3 linked regions of the Nothobranchius furzeri genome follow. The protein of the gene in region 1 binds, or shares a complex with, the protein of each later gene. Links are inferred from orthologs where the notes say so. Each region holds a gene or a part of one and is shown on either strand. Other genes may lie near its edges.

Region 1 (3,754 bases):
TGAGACATTTCTGGACACTGAAAAGATAATTTTTTTAAGTCTTTGTCAGCAGTTTTATTGTTATTAAAAAAGAATATATATTGACAGTGGAAAATACAACTTTTAGATAAAAAATGTTGTCTGAGTGTATTTATTGAGCTGTCTTCATGCTTTTTATGACTTTCTCAATAAGTTTGTGGATCTCTCCCTTTCGTGCCGTTGCTCTTTTGATGCACTCCTGCAGCTTCTCTCCCGACAGTGGCGTTCCACCTGGAGGCAAAGTTTGCAGAGCCTTTTATCCCCGTTTTCTCAAAATACTCAAAATAATCTGAAGCTTTATTTCATGGCAGAAGCACCACAAATCTAAAGATCACAGATGTGCCATCTCTGACCTGGTTTATGTAAGGAGCACAGCTGATCTTCCTCATCCATCACCACAGTGAGGCGTGCCGTCGACAGGCTCTCCTCCTCGGCGGTGGGGTCTACGATCAGTATGGAGCTGCACAGGAAAACCAAAAAGGCTTAAAGAAGAACAAAATGGCACTTGTACCTAAAATAAAAATTGAATTGAAATCAAACAAACGTACTCATCAAAGATGCAAAAGGAGACGCTGACTGGATGTCGGTGAATGTTAAGTTTGTGTTTCTTTTCAAAATTCACCTCCGGGGCGGACGTCTCTTTGTTGATGGTGACTTCTGGGAGTTGTGCTGCAGGGAAAGATTACTAAAAGATAGATTTATTTTATTTATTACATGCACCGTTTCAGTAAAGTCTCAACCCTACTTACTGGTTTTCAGGGCAGCCAGAAGGGCGACAACACAAGCATCTAGGATGTTCCCGTCATAGTCGAGACACATGATGTCACAGTAGAGGACCCAGCAGAGCTGCAACAAGATTTAGCAGAATTATGATTGAATATATTACAACAAATAAAGTCCACACATGAGTCTAAAATCACCTTTCCTCGGCCAATGCACAAGTCTTCTTTCTTGATCACCTCAGAGCTGCACGACACATGAAGGTTAAGTCAAAGCAGTGGCAGAAACACTACAGCTGGAAACTAAAGGTGTTTGAAGGCTTAACACACCTCTCAATGATATCAGCGATGAACTGGCTGGCAGCCTGGGCCTGTTCCCCTGGTGGGCCTGGTCGGAAGCGGGACGAACACAGGGGTGGCAGGTCTACATTGGGCACTTTTTTAAAACATATATAGACAGATGATGATGTCATAATAAAATACAGAATCAAACAGAAAATACGAGATAAAGAATTAAGCAATGAAAACCTGATGGAAACAAGGAGGCTGTAAAATGTGTTCAGAACTTACCTATGTAACCTTTACCAGGTGCATCCACAGTAGGGTTAGTCAGCTCCTGCATATGAACACATGACTTTAACACCTAAAGAAATCTTAGCAGTAGCGGTTTGAGTCATTGTGCACCAGTACCGCTTTGATGCCACAGATGATCGTGGTGTTTCCCAGCTTTACCAGAGCGGAGCCGTCTGCAGTGGAAATAGACCCTGAACAGAAAATAAGTAAAAACTGTTACAGCTGGCAGTGATCAGCCCTTTAGGCACTGGAAAATGTTGGAGTTGAAAAAATATGAGCCGACTCATTTTGTATTAGAAGTACATATTATTTTATTTACATCATATCTAAAATTATGTTTTATTACAGGGAGGAAACATTTAATTTATTTTCTTACCAATGTTTAAGGTTGTACTTCTAAATTCAGACAACTCCCGCCCATCAGGTCTACAATTTTCTTTCTGCAAATGAAGCATTTGCAATTACAATGACACTAATAACAATAATAATAACATTTATGGGTTTCTACTGGGTATAGTTTGTATGTATTTGACGAACCAAAAAGCTCCTGTGATACTCCAGAGGCTCCGCCGTCCTGAAAGTTTAAAGAAATTAAATAAGACAAATTAGTAACAAACACGTGCGATCCTGCAATAAACAGCAGACCGATAAATCTAACAAATAAAGTGTACTATCCCGTCACTAGCCCAACTGACGTCACAGAAATGTTGTTTCTGTATTTTTTGACAAGCAAACTAAATTTAGATATAACACTGAACATTAAATATATCGATGATATATATTTGATGAAAATCAAAGTCTGAATATAAAGAAAAATACATGTTAAAAATGACTTACTTGAAACCAGCCGCCATGATGTTTTGATTACCCACGTGAACTACGGTGGCCGCGACGAAACTGTGATTACCAACGACAAGTGTGCATTACCGCCACCAACTGGACTGGAGTTCGGAAATGAACGAAAAACTGGCCAACAAATTCGTCTTTTTCAAAAATGAGTTGGTGTTGTAAGGTCAATAAAACTTTCAAATTGATAACCGGTCACAATTAATAAAGATTAAATAAAACTCGATATATTAATTTGCTAAACAAACAATATTGTAGTGTTTAAACAATTGACAGTGAATAAATATTCCTTACAAACTCCTCTTTCCTAACCGAACAATCCAGAGCAAAATTGTGGATTCTCTTATGTCTTCAAACTGAACTTTTTAGTTAGAATGGTTTGGATCATTCTTTTAAAATACAAAATTAAACTGTTAAACAAGTCATGTGTTTTGATGTTGGTGTGTGTGTGTGTGTGTGTGCGTGCGTGCGTGCGTGCGTGTGTGTGTGTGTGTGTGTGTGTGTGTGTGTGTGTGTGTGTGTGTGTGTGTGTGTGTGTGTGTGTGTGTGTGTGTGTGTGTGTGAGCAGTGCATGCATGGCAACTCGGTTTTCTGATTATTTTCTGCTTTACTGTTTTCTTTACTCAACCTCAAACGAGCAGTTAGATATCTGAAGATTGTCTTGGTCTGTTGATGTTTTGTTGCATTAACCCTCTGATGCATGAATTATGAAATCTTCAACCATGATTTTTTAAACTATTTTTTTCATTCATCTTTAGGTGTGAATGAAACAAATTTCAACAAATATTTTTTGTACCATTTTGTTAATTTACAAATACTTTATTACATGTCCATCTCAGTGGACAATGTGCATTCTGAACATGAAATATGGTGGCTTGACTTACTGAAGTCCAAATGGAAGGGCTCATATGCAATAAAGTCTTCAACAGCTGTGCTTAATAGCAAAAATAAATAAATAACAATTTTGAGTAACTGTCCACTGTAGTGACCGTTATGCACCAAAGGGTTAAGCAGCAAAATAAGCTCAGTTTTTGTGCTGGAGCAGGGAAACAAGTAAAACATGATGGATATGGAATATCGAGGCCCAGGGTTAGAGAGGTGGTGTAAAAAATAGGCGTCATTGCTTTTTAACTTCACTAGCTGGTGGGCCGGTCTCGGCTCAAAACGAACTGGCTGATTTTTTGTCCCAGTCCAGCCCTGTTGGGGACCCATGGTCGGAAATAGATGGGTGTGACTTAGCTTCCCATTGAGCGTGAGACACGTGTCTGACCCCTTTCACACACCTCCTCGTGCATGGAAACCATCACAAGTTGGCAGCCCTGTAGAAAATAACTTAGTTCTCTTGCATTACTCACCTTCTGTTATTCTATCAAAGCTGTTATAACAAATCTGTTAGTAAGCTGGGTTTTGAGAAAAAAAAACACTGTCACAATACACACTCCTCCCCTGCAGGAACTGGCAACTCGTGATGTCGGATGAAACAAAACAGTGCTTAACACCAGTTGCAGCTTTCTAGATCTAATCAGCTGTGAACCTCTCCAGGGGTGTTTTGTTACAAAATACGGAAGTGTGTAATGAGTGGAAAAGCTAGGGAAGTG
Region 2 (3,754 bases), on another chromosome or scaffold:
TTTATAACTTTATGTTGTAAACAGCGTTTCACTTCACACCAAAGCAGATTTTTAAAAAGTCTGGATCTCTACCAGCTCCTGTTGCTGGTGGTGTTACCGGGTTCAGCTGCTGCTCTCACATCGGAATGAGATCTCTGAACGCTGAAGCTCATATAAATAAATAAATAACGTAATTTTAACACATGTAATCATACATCGGAGCTTTAATATTGTTAATAATTGTCTCGCTTTATACAACAGTGGACGGCGCGCGTCATCCGGGGTGAAATACCCATCCATCAGGATTATCAATAACTTGTATGAACACATCACCTTTATCCCTGTCCCTGTCTTCCTCGTGAAATAAATGAACATTAATCTTACCCGGTAAAAACATGTTCGCTGCAAATCTGAGGGCTACTTCGCTTAATTGATCACTGCAGTTTGTCTCCGTCCTCAGTCTCCCATCAAATTTATTAAAAAGAAAAAACGAGTTGAGTTTATGTCCTTGTCTCTTAGTGCAGCCGACCATGCAGCAGGCTAAAACCATTTTACTGTCAAATCAACTAAATAAAAGCGATAAAAGGCTACAAACTGGCTTGTTTTGACCAGCTTCACTGGGGATTCTACAGGTGTAAATGGTATTTTTGCCGTCCGTCATGGCGAAGGGGGCGGTCACATGAGTGGCGTGAGGTCACGTGCAAAGGGTCAATACCCAATACTTTAACAGTCTCAAGTTGCTTTTCTCTCTAAGGCTGCCCCGTTCCTCCAGGAGGAATTCTTAGAGCATTACATGTCTGGATGTGTTAAATAGATTATGTTTAATAAGTATTTCTTCACAAACAGAGGTGAGAAGTCAGGTCAGAGGGTCAAATTTTCATTCCTTAGGAAGCTTTTCCTTCTCTTGACATAAAAATACTTTGTGCCTTTAGGTAAATTCATGTAGTTTATCATTTATGATGTCTTAAAATACTAGATCATGTCTCACAAAACTGACCTTTAATAGACCCAGCAAGGTTTCTCAAACAAATCACTTATTATGTTGAACTGCTTTACTCACACTTTAACGCTCACACACATCTATCAAAATCAAGTCAATAAAGTTTATGAACAACTTCTCTTGACTGGTTCTGAATGTACCTCCAAACTGGTGTAGAAGCCCCCAGCTTCCTCATCCTGTTGTCCCAGCGTGGGATACAACCACACAAAGCCATTATTACCAAGGATTATAGATGCACCACATGGAAGATTGTGGAAATGTGTTTTCTGCCTCTTGATCAGAGAAGGAGAAATCTGGACCAGCACTCCTTGACCCAACTGACAGTCAAAAAGAATTGAAATAAGATTGAGATTAAAATTATTATTATTATTATTATTATTACTACAGATTATTTTCCCACAAAAGAAGCTTTTTATAATTAGGAACGTGTTAGTGTAAAAATTAGTGGGATTACTCAGTGTCACTGTGTGCTATAACTTACTTTTCCATATTTTAAACTACGAGTGTGAAGTGAGAGTGCTCCATCTGAAAAAACAGACTGCACTTCTGCCTAAAAAACAAACAAAAGTTCAAACCCAGTCAGGAATAAAAAAAAACTGGTAGTAAAAGTTGGTCATTTTGAATCAAATGTGTCTTACACTGATTAGATCGCCTTCCTGGATGTATTTTCTCATGGTGAGCTCGTCTTCTGCAGATCTTCGTCTCTAAAAGGCAAAATCAATCAGTTTAGCAAAAGTAAAAACAAAAATCTCAACCAAAACATATGAAGCTACGTTCTACTATCTCACCAGTTCTCCTCCAGGCAGATTGACAGATGACAATAAGAGGACCGAATCTAGTCTGGAGTTGGTATCCACCTTCCACCGCTTCTGTTGAACCTGAATTTGAAAACATCCCCATTCTGAAAACTCTTGATGAAAGTACTACATCTTTTTACTGTTTTTAGATCACAAAAACATTTGTTCACCTCCGTGATCCTGCCAACAACCACATCTCCAACCTCACCGTTAAATCTGTAATTCACATCAGAGTTATAGGACTGCATTTAGATAAAAGCAGGACACATAGCAAGTGAAAGCAGTGCAGAGGTAAATGATGTTTCATGGCTCTTAAATTAATGGCGTACCTGGTCTTTAGAGGTCTGACGCAGATTAGTTTGTCAACTCTTTGCACCTTTCCTGCAACTGAAGCCGTTAGTTTATCATCGTCGACATATGTTCCATGACCCCTGTGAGAAAACGAGGTAAAGTAATGGTTACCAGGCCTTTACTCCCAGGCTTCACAGTAGAACCAGTACCCACCTCATGAAACCTGTGTCTGAGGTGATAACATCGCCGGGAACTACCAAATCTTTCCGGTATACAGCGGGAGCCGACAAAGTCATTGTTTTTTTAACAGTCGGTAATCTCATGTCCACTGCCATGCTTGTTTCTTCTTACTTTTCCCGCTCGCGACAGAGTCCACAGGGCTTTACTTCTATGTGCACACTTAGAATAGTGAAGAAAATTTAAGAAAGGGTTTCCTCCCCAAAGTTAACAGTCGTTTAAAAACCAACTGGCTCAACAAGCTACAAAAATGGACAACAATATAACTATAACAGACCATGCATGTCTGTGATGCTAGGTAGCACACTCTCCTACTTCTGCTCTGTTACGTAGTTTGTGAGACCAGCTAACGCCCCCTACTGGTACGGAGTAAAAGCGACAGAAATTGATGTTTTGTTACTGCTCTCTTTCCGCCAAATAAAGATCAATGCAGTACTACTGACTCAGCCAGGTTCAGATTAACAAACAACTCAATAATAGCTAAATCATTCCACTTCTGTGATCATAAGATTCATCACAGTTTTACTGGTGGAATCTTATAAGCCCGCTTTAATTGTTAATTCAGGGCTTTTATTTCTTCTTTATCAATTTCACTTCCCTCAGTTTTTGTTTACTTTGCAGAATTTGTGATTTTATTAGGCAAGGTAAAAACATATTCCAGAAAAATATACAAAAACAGGATAATTAGGGTTGGACTTTTTAAATAAATTCAAATTTGTTTTCATGAAAGTTTGTACAAAAATATATAGCCTAGAAAACCATCAGATTGCACCCAGCCTTTACTTTGATTCATCCCCTGGAGCATGCATAGGTCAGACAACAGTGATGAGGAGGATTTCACACTTGGATGCAGACTCCTGGGGGTTGTTTCCTTTCTAGAGCTTTCTTAAGTTAGCTCAACAATACAGCCAAACATCAATTTTTTTCTTTTCATGTTTACAGATGTATGCCATTTAAATTAATACATTCTCAGCTCAATCCAGTATTTTTTCAACTGTAATTAATGTTTTGATGAGTTCTTAAAATATCTATAATCCCAATGCCATCCCTATAAGTTTATTGTGGACTCTTAAAAATACATATATATAGTATAATGCAAGATTATTTTTGCTTCAGCAATTGACGGTCTAGATTCTAGGCTAGGTCAGAATCTTTTTTATTGTTTTGCTCTCAAATTAATTTTTTCAAACACCCCAACCCAGACTTATCTCTGCAAATAGCTTTGTTTTATGGAACTCAAAAGTATTCAAAATTCAATAAATAAATAAGACATTATGAAATAAATGTCTACATGAAGAAATACTAGACAATCATGTAATCTGACAATGAAATGATGAAATAACAGAATGTTATGTAAAATCTAAGTTCAATATTATGAAATATTTTTCATTCTTCTTTTAAAATGGCAGGTCACACCCACTGGTTTGACTGACGGACTGAGACATTCTGC
Region 3 (3,754 bases), on another chromosome or scaffold:
GTGATCGAAGGGTTGTAGGATCGATCCCTGCACAGAATTCTGCTGGTGTGTCCTTGGGCAAGACACTTAACCCACCTTGCCTGCTGGTGGTGGTGGTCAGAGGGAATGGTGGTGCCAGTGTATGGAAGGCCTCACCTTTTTCAGCGCACCATTGGGAAGCTGTAGCTACACTGTAGCTCATTACCACCAGCAAGTGAATGCGTGTGTGCATGGGTGATGCCTTGGAGGGGTTGTAGAACCCTAGAAGGCACTATATCATTTTTGGTCCACTACAAAGCTACTGTATACAACAGCTATTAACTCTAGTCCAAATACCACAATCACCTAAATGGAATTAAACATTGTCCATCACATTAAGAATTTCATTTATATAAATTAGTACAAATGGATAGAGACCAAGCAGTGTTTAAGAAAATATGTAGAAAGAGTTGTATCATCACGGGTGTGAGCTTCACTGCTCATCTCAACATTAAAGAATTAAGCTTAAAAACACAGAAAAGCTTCAGAGTGCAAGAAAAACTGCCTAAAATTATGAATTCAGTCACATTCTGTCCAAGTCGTAATTCATTAGCTGGATTTTCTTATTTCACCTAATTTAGGCAGAGTAGTCGAGTTACAGATGAAATGAGGCTAACTGCATTTATTTTGTTTATTTTATCAAATGTGACACAATTTTGCTCCCTGGAATCAGTTTTAAACATTGAAACTTAAAGAGCAAGTCACCCCCTACCAGAGTTGTACTCCACTCCCACTTCATGTGTGAAAAATGCAACAAATGCTGTTGCCTGGCAGACCGAGAGGGCGGAGCCACTAACACACACACACACAGCATTGTGACATCATATGGTACCAACTAACGTTCTAGGGTACCTCTTAAGCCTGGGTCATGCTTCTCCGTCAGCTCCGCAAGGGACAGACACGCATGGATTGATGGAAGCGTTTTGCTCTCATACTTCTCCGTCCCCTGGAGTGTTGCAAAGCAATTCCCCGGCAGGACAACAGAGGGCGTAGCGCTGTTCTGTGGTATCCTGTCATTTATCGGTCCAAGATAGTGCGTTTATATTATGTTTTTTCATTGTCTTCTTCATGCGCTCGCCACCTTAAACCCAGGTTTCCTGTCATTTCTGTCCACAAATAAAATGCTTGCTGCGCATCTTTTCACTCCTCCAGTCACGGGGAATTAAACGTTCATATTTTAGAGGTTTTTCGCGAGGTATTCTTCAAGCTTCTCCGTGTCTGCCGCTTGTTATCCTCGGCTCTCTTTATGTTTTTGCGGGCGCAATGGCGGCGCTGTAGACAACAGCGGCGTCCTGACCAATCACAAGCTTGCGTTGTCCGTCTCGACTGACGGATGTTTAGAAAAGAGAGCTCGACTCCGTCCGTCCTTGCGGAGCTCTCCGGCAGGCCCGCAAGGACGTTGCGTGTCTCCACACTGACGCAGACGGAGAAGCATGAATCAGGCTTTAGCCAATACCGATGGCAGATTTAAACTCAAATGCAGCGCAGAGTTTTTACCTGACCATGGCACAACACTGACAGTTTTAGGCAGAAAATTAAAATTTTAACTAAAATGCACTTAAGTGCAAAACTATTGACAACACGGGTCTGCAGCACGATTAGATACACGTTTATATAGTTTATCAGACAAAATAAAGTTGATTTGGGGTGACTTGCTCTTTAAGTATATGTATTACATTATGATCCTCACCTTCTCGCCTTCGGTTGTCTTGAGCACAAAGCCTGCGAGTGAGGAGTAAATGTAGCCATGCCGCAGATATACTCCTGCGCCTGGATTACAGTCTCCCTCACTGCAAAGCTTGTCACCTGAGTGCAAACAGACAACAAGGGTCAGAAAACGCTACAGTAAAATAACAAACGAACAGTGTTAACATCACAGACATGAACACACCTGAAGAGCACAACCACTGTTTGTGACTTTAGTCAAACCCTCTCATTTTTAATGTGAGTTTGTGATTTAGTTGCCTTTCATTTCGTTTTATCAACATGGCAAACTGCTAATCCTGCATAGTCTAGTGAGTGATCGTTTTGTTTTGATGTAGCATAAACACAATTTAGTACTAAAGCTGGTTAGCGGATTTCTTTTGGGTGTGTGAACGAATGATAAATATGTGCTAATTCCACGCGTGTAGCAGTTGGGGCAACTTTAAAGCCCTCTGACTGAAGTTTAAATGCATACTTTAGTGACACATCGACGTCTACACGAGCTGGAATTGGTACGTGACCAAAACACGGTTCTAAATCTACGCAGTGCCTTGTATGGAACATTAAATCAGCGGACTCACCTGGAACACACAACTTCATGGGCGACATGTTTTCGACAAGAGTAGCTTGCGAGCTCATTGGTTGGGACGTCGTCTGGAGTCGATTCTGATTGGTCCGGCTGTGGAGACCGGAAAAGGGCGAAGGAAGGCTCCAGTGCTCATGTGCGAGAAAACGAAGCGCTCCGATTTGTACTCACACTCTCCGCGGGGTGTCGCCAACCTTTATGTTTTTGGTTTGTAAGGGAAAACTTGTTTTTACTTTATTAAAGATGAAGCACATATAAAGAACATTCATTTAAGTGTGTGAACAAACAAACATGGCTGAAGTATCAAATAAAGACCACAAACATCAAGAGAATCACATAAAGGGTAAAAAAACTAAAGGTTTATCAGTTATTTATCTTGCTGACAAGATAATATTTATTGAAAAGGAATATAGTTTCTGAGCTTTTGTTCTTTCATAACTGTTAACGATTTAACATAAATATGAAATTATTTTTAAAAGCTAAGAAAGTCTTTGCTTTTGCAGATGACGTTGTCCTGTTGTTGGCTTCATCAGAACGTAATCTCCAGCTCTCACTGGAGCGGTTCACAGCACAGTGTGAAGGAGTCGGGATGAGAATCAGCTCCTCTAAATCCGACACCATGGTCTTGAGTCGGAAAATGGTAGAAGAACTTGTCCAGGTCAGGGATGAGGTTCTGCCCCAAGTGGAGGAGTTAATGTATCTCGGGGTCTTGTTCACACGTGAGGAGAAGATGGGGCACAAGATCGACAGGCGGATTGGTGCTGCGTCTGCAGTAACGTGGGTGTTGTACCGATCTGTTGATTTCCTGGTTGATCTACGTTCCAACTCACACCTATGGTCACGACCTTTGGGTAGAGACTGAAAGAATGAGATTGCGGATGCAAGCAGCCGAAATTTTTCTCTGCAGGGTGGCTGGGCTCTCCCTTAAAGATAGGCTTGGTCATCCAGGAGGGGTTTGGAGTAGACACGCTGCTCCTCCACATCAAGAGGAGCCAGTTGAGGTGGCTCGGGCATCTAGTTAGGACGCCCCCCTGGTGAGGTTTTCTGGGCACGTCCAACCAGAAGAAGACCTAAAGGAAGACCCACTGGAGGGACTGTGTCTCTCAGCTGACCAGGGAACACCTTTGTATTCCCCCGGAGGAGCTGACCCAAGCGGCTGGGGAGAGGGAAGTCTGGGCCTCCCTGCTTAGGCTGCTGCCCCCACGACCCGACCCTCGATAAGCAGATGAAAATGGATGGGTGGAATCAAAGAAATAAGGGAAACTTTTAAAATTTTGCTCCTGTGAATAAAGTTTGGCAATATAAATTTCTTTGGGAACCAAGAGCGCCCAGAAACAACCCTCACACGCATAAGGACATTTAAAAGGTGTTGAACACTCATTGAATCAGTACATCTGCAGTAGTCTCTAGTAGGACTGAATGCCTTGTAAATTGTATTCAGGGAAA

Evidence for each region.
Region 2: exosc8 (region 1) and exosc2 share a complex: the UniProt entries of both Homo sapiens proteins name them as parts of the RNA exosome core complex. The link is inferred for Nothobranchius furzeri from reciprocal best matches to the Homo sapiens genes EXOSC8 and EXOSC2.
Region 3: exosc8 (region 1) and exosc1 share a complex: the UniProt entries of both Homo sapiens proteins name them as parts of the RNA exosome core complex. The link is inferred for Nothobranchius furzeri from reciprocal best matches to the Homo sapiens genes EXOSC8 and EXOSC1.

Annotation. Positions count from the first base shown.
Region 1 is NC_091750.1:62,637,030-62,640,783, reverse strand, and holds exosc8 (exosome complex component RRP43), read right to left. Parts: upstream 2,230-3,754; 5' UTR 2,165-2,229; coding exon 2,148-2,164; intron 1,885-2,147; coding exon 1,848-1,884; intron 1,751-1,847; coding exon 1,687-1,750; intron 1,502-1,686; coding exon 1,428-1,501; intron 1,354-1,427; coding exon 1,308-1,353; intron 1,174-1,307; coding exon 1,068-1,173; intron 985-1,067; coding exon 939-984; intron 865-938; coding exon 768-864; intron 688-767; coding exon 567-687; intron 479-566; coding exon 372-478; intron 250-371; coding exon 131-249; 3' UTR 30-130; downstream 1-29. UniProt on the Homo sapiens protein: Non-catalytic component of the RNA exosome complex which has 3'->5' exoribonuclease activity and participates in a multitude of cellular RNA processing and degradation events.
Region 2 is NC_091746.1:53,646,801-53,650,554, reverse strand, and holds the start of exosc2 (exosome complex component RRP4), read right to left. Parts: upstream 2,624-3,754; 5' UTR 2,403-2,623; coding exon 2,281-2,402; intron 2,208-2,280; coding exon 2,106-2,207; intron 1,993-2,105; coding exon 1,947-1,992; intron 1,858-1,946; coding exon 1,768-1,857; intron 1,684-1,767; coding exon 1,618-1,683; intron 1,530-1,617; coding exon 1,461-1,529; intron 1,297-1,460; coding exon 1,120-1,296; intron 1-1,119. UniProt on the Homo sapiens protein: Non-catalytic component of the RNA exosome complex which has 3'->5' exoribonuclease activity and participates in a multitude of cellular RNA processing and degradation events.
Region 3 is NC_091746.1:82,296,247-82,300,000, forward strand, and holds the start of exosc1 (exosome complex component CSL4), read right to left. Parts: upstream 2,409-3,754; 5' UTR 2,362-2,408; coding exon 2,304-2,361; intron 1,825-2,303; coding exon 1,709-1,824; intron 1-1,708. UniProt on the Homo sapiens protein: Non-catalytic component of the RNA exosome complex which has 3'->5' exoribonuclease activity and participates in a multitude of cellular RNA processing and degradation events.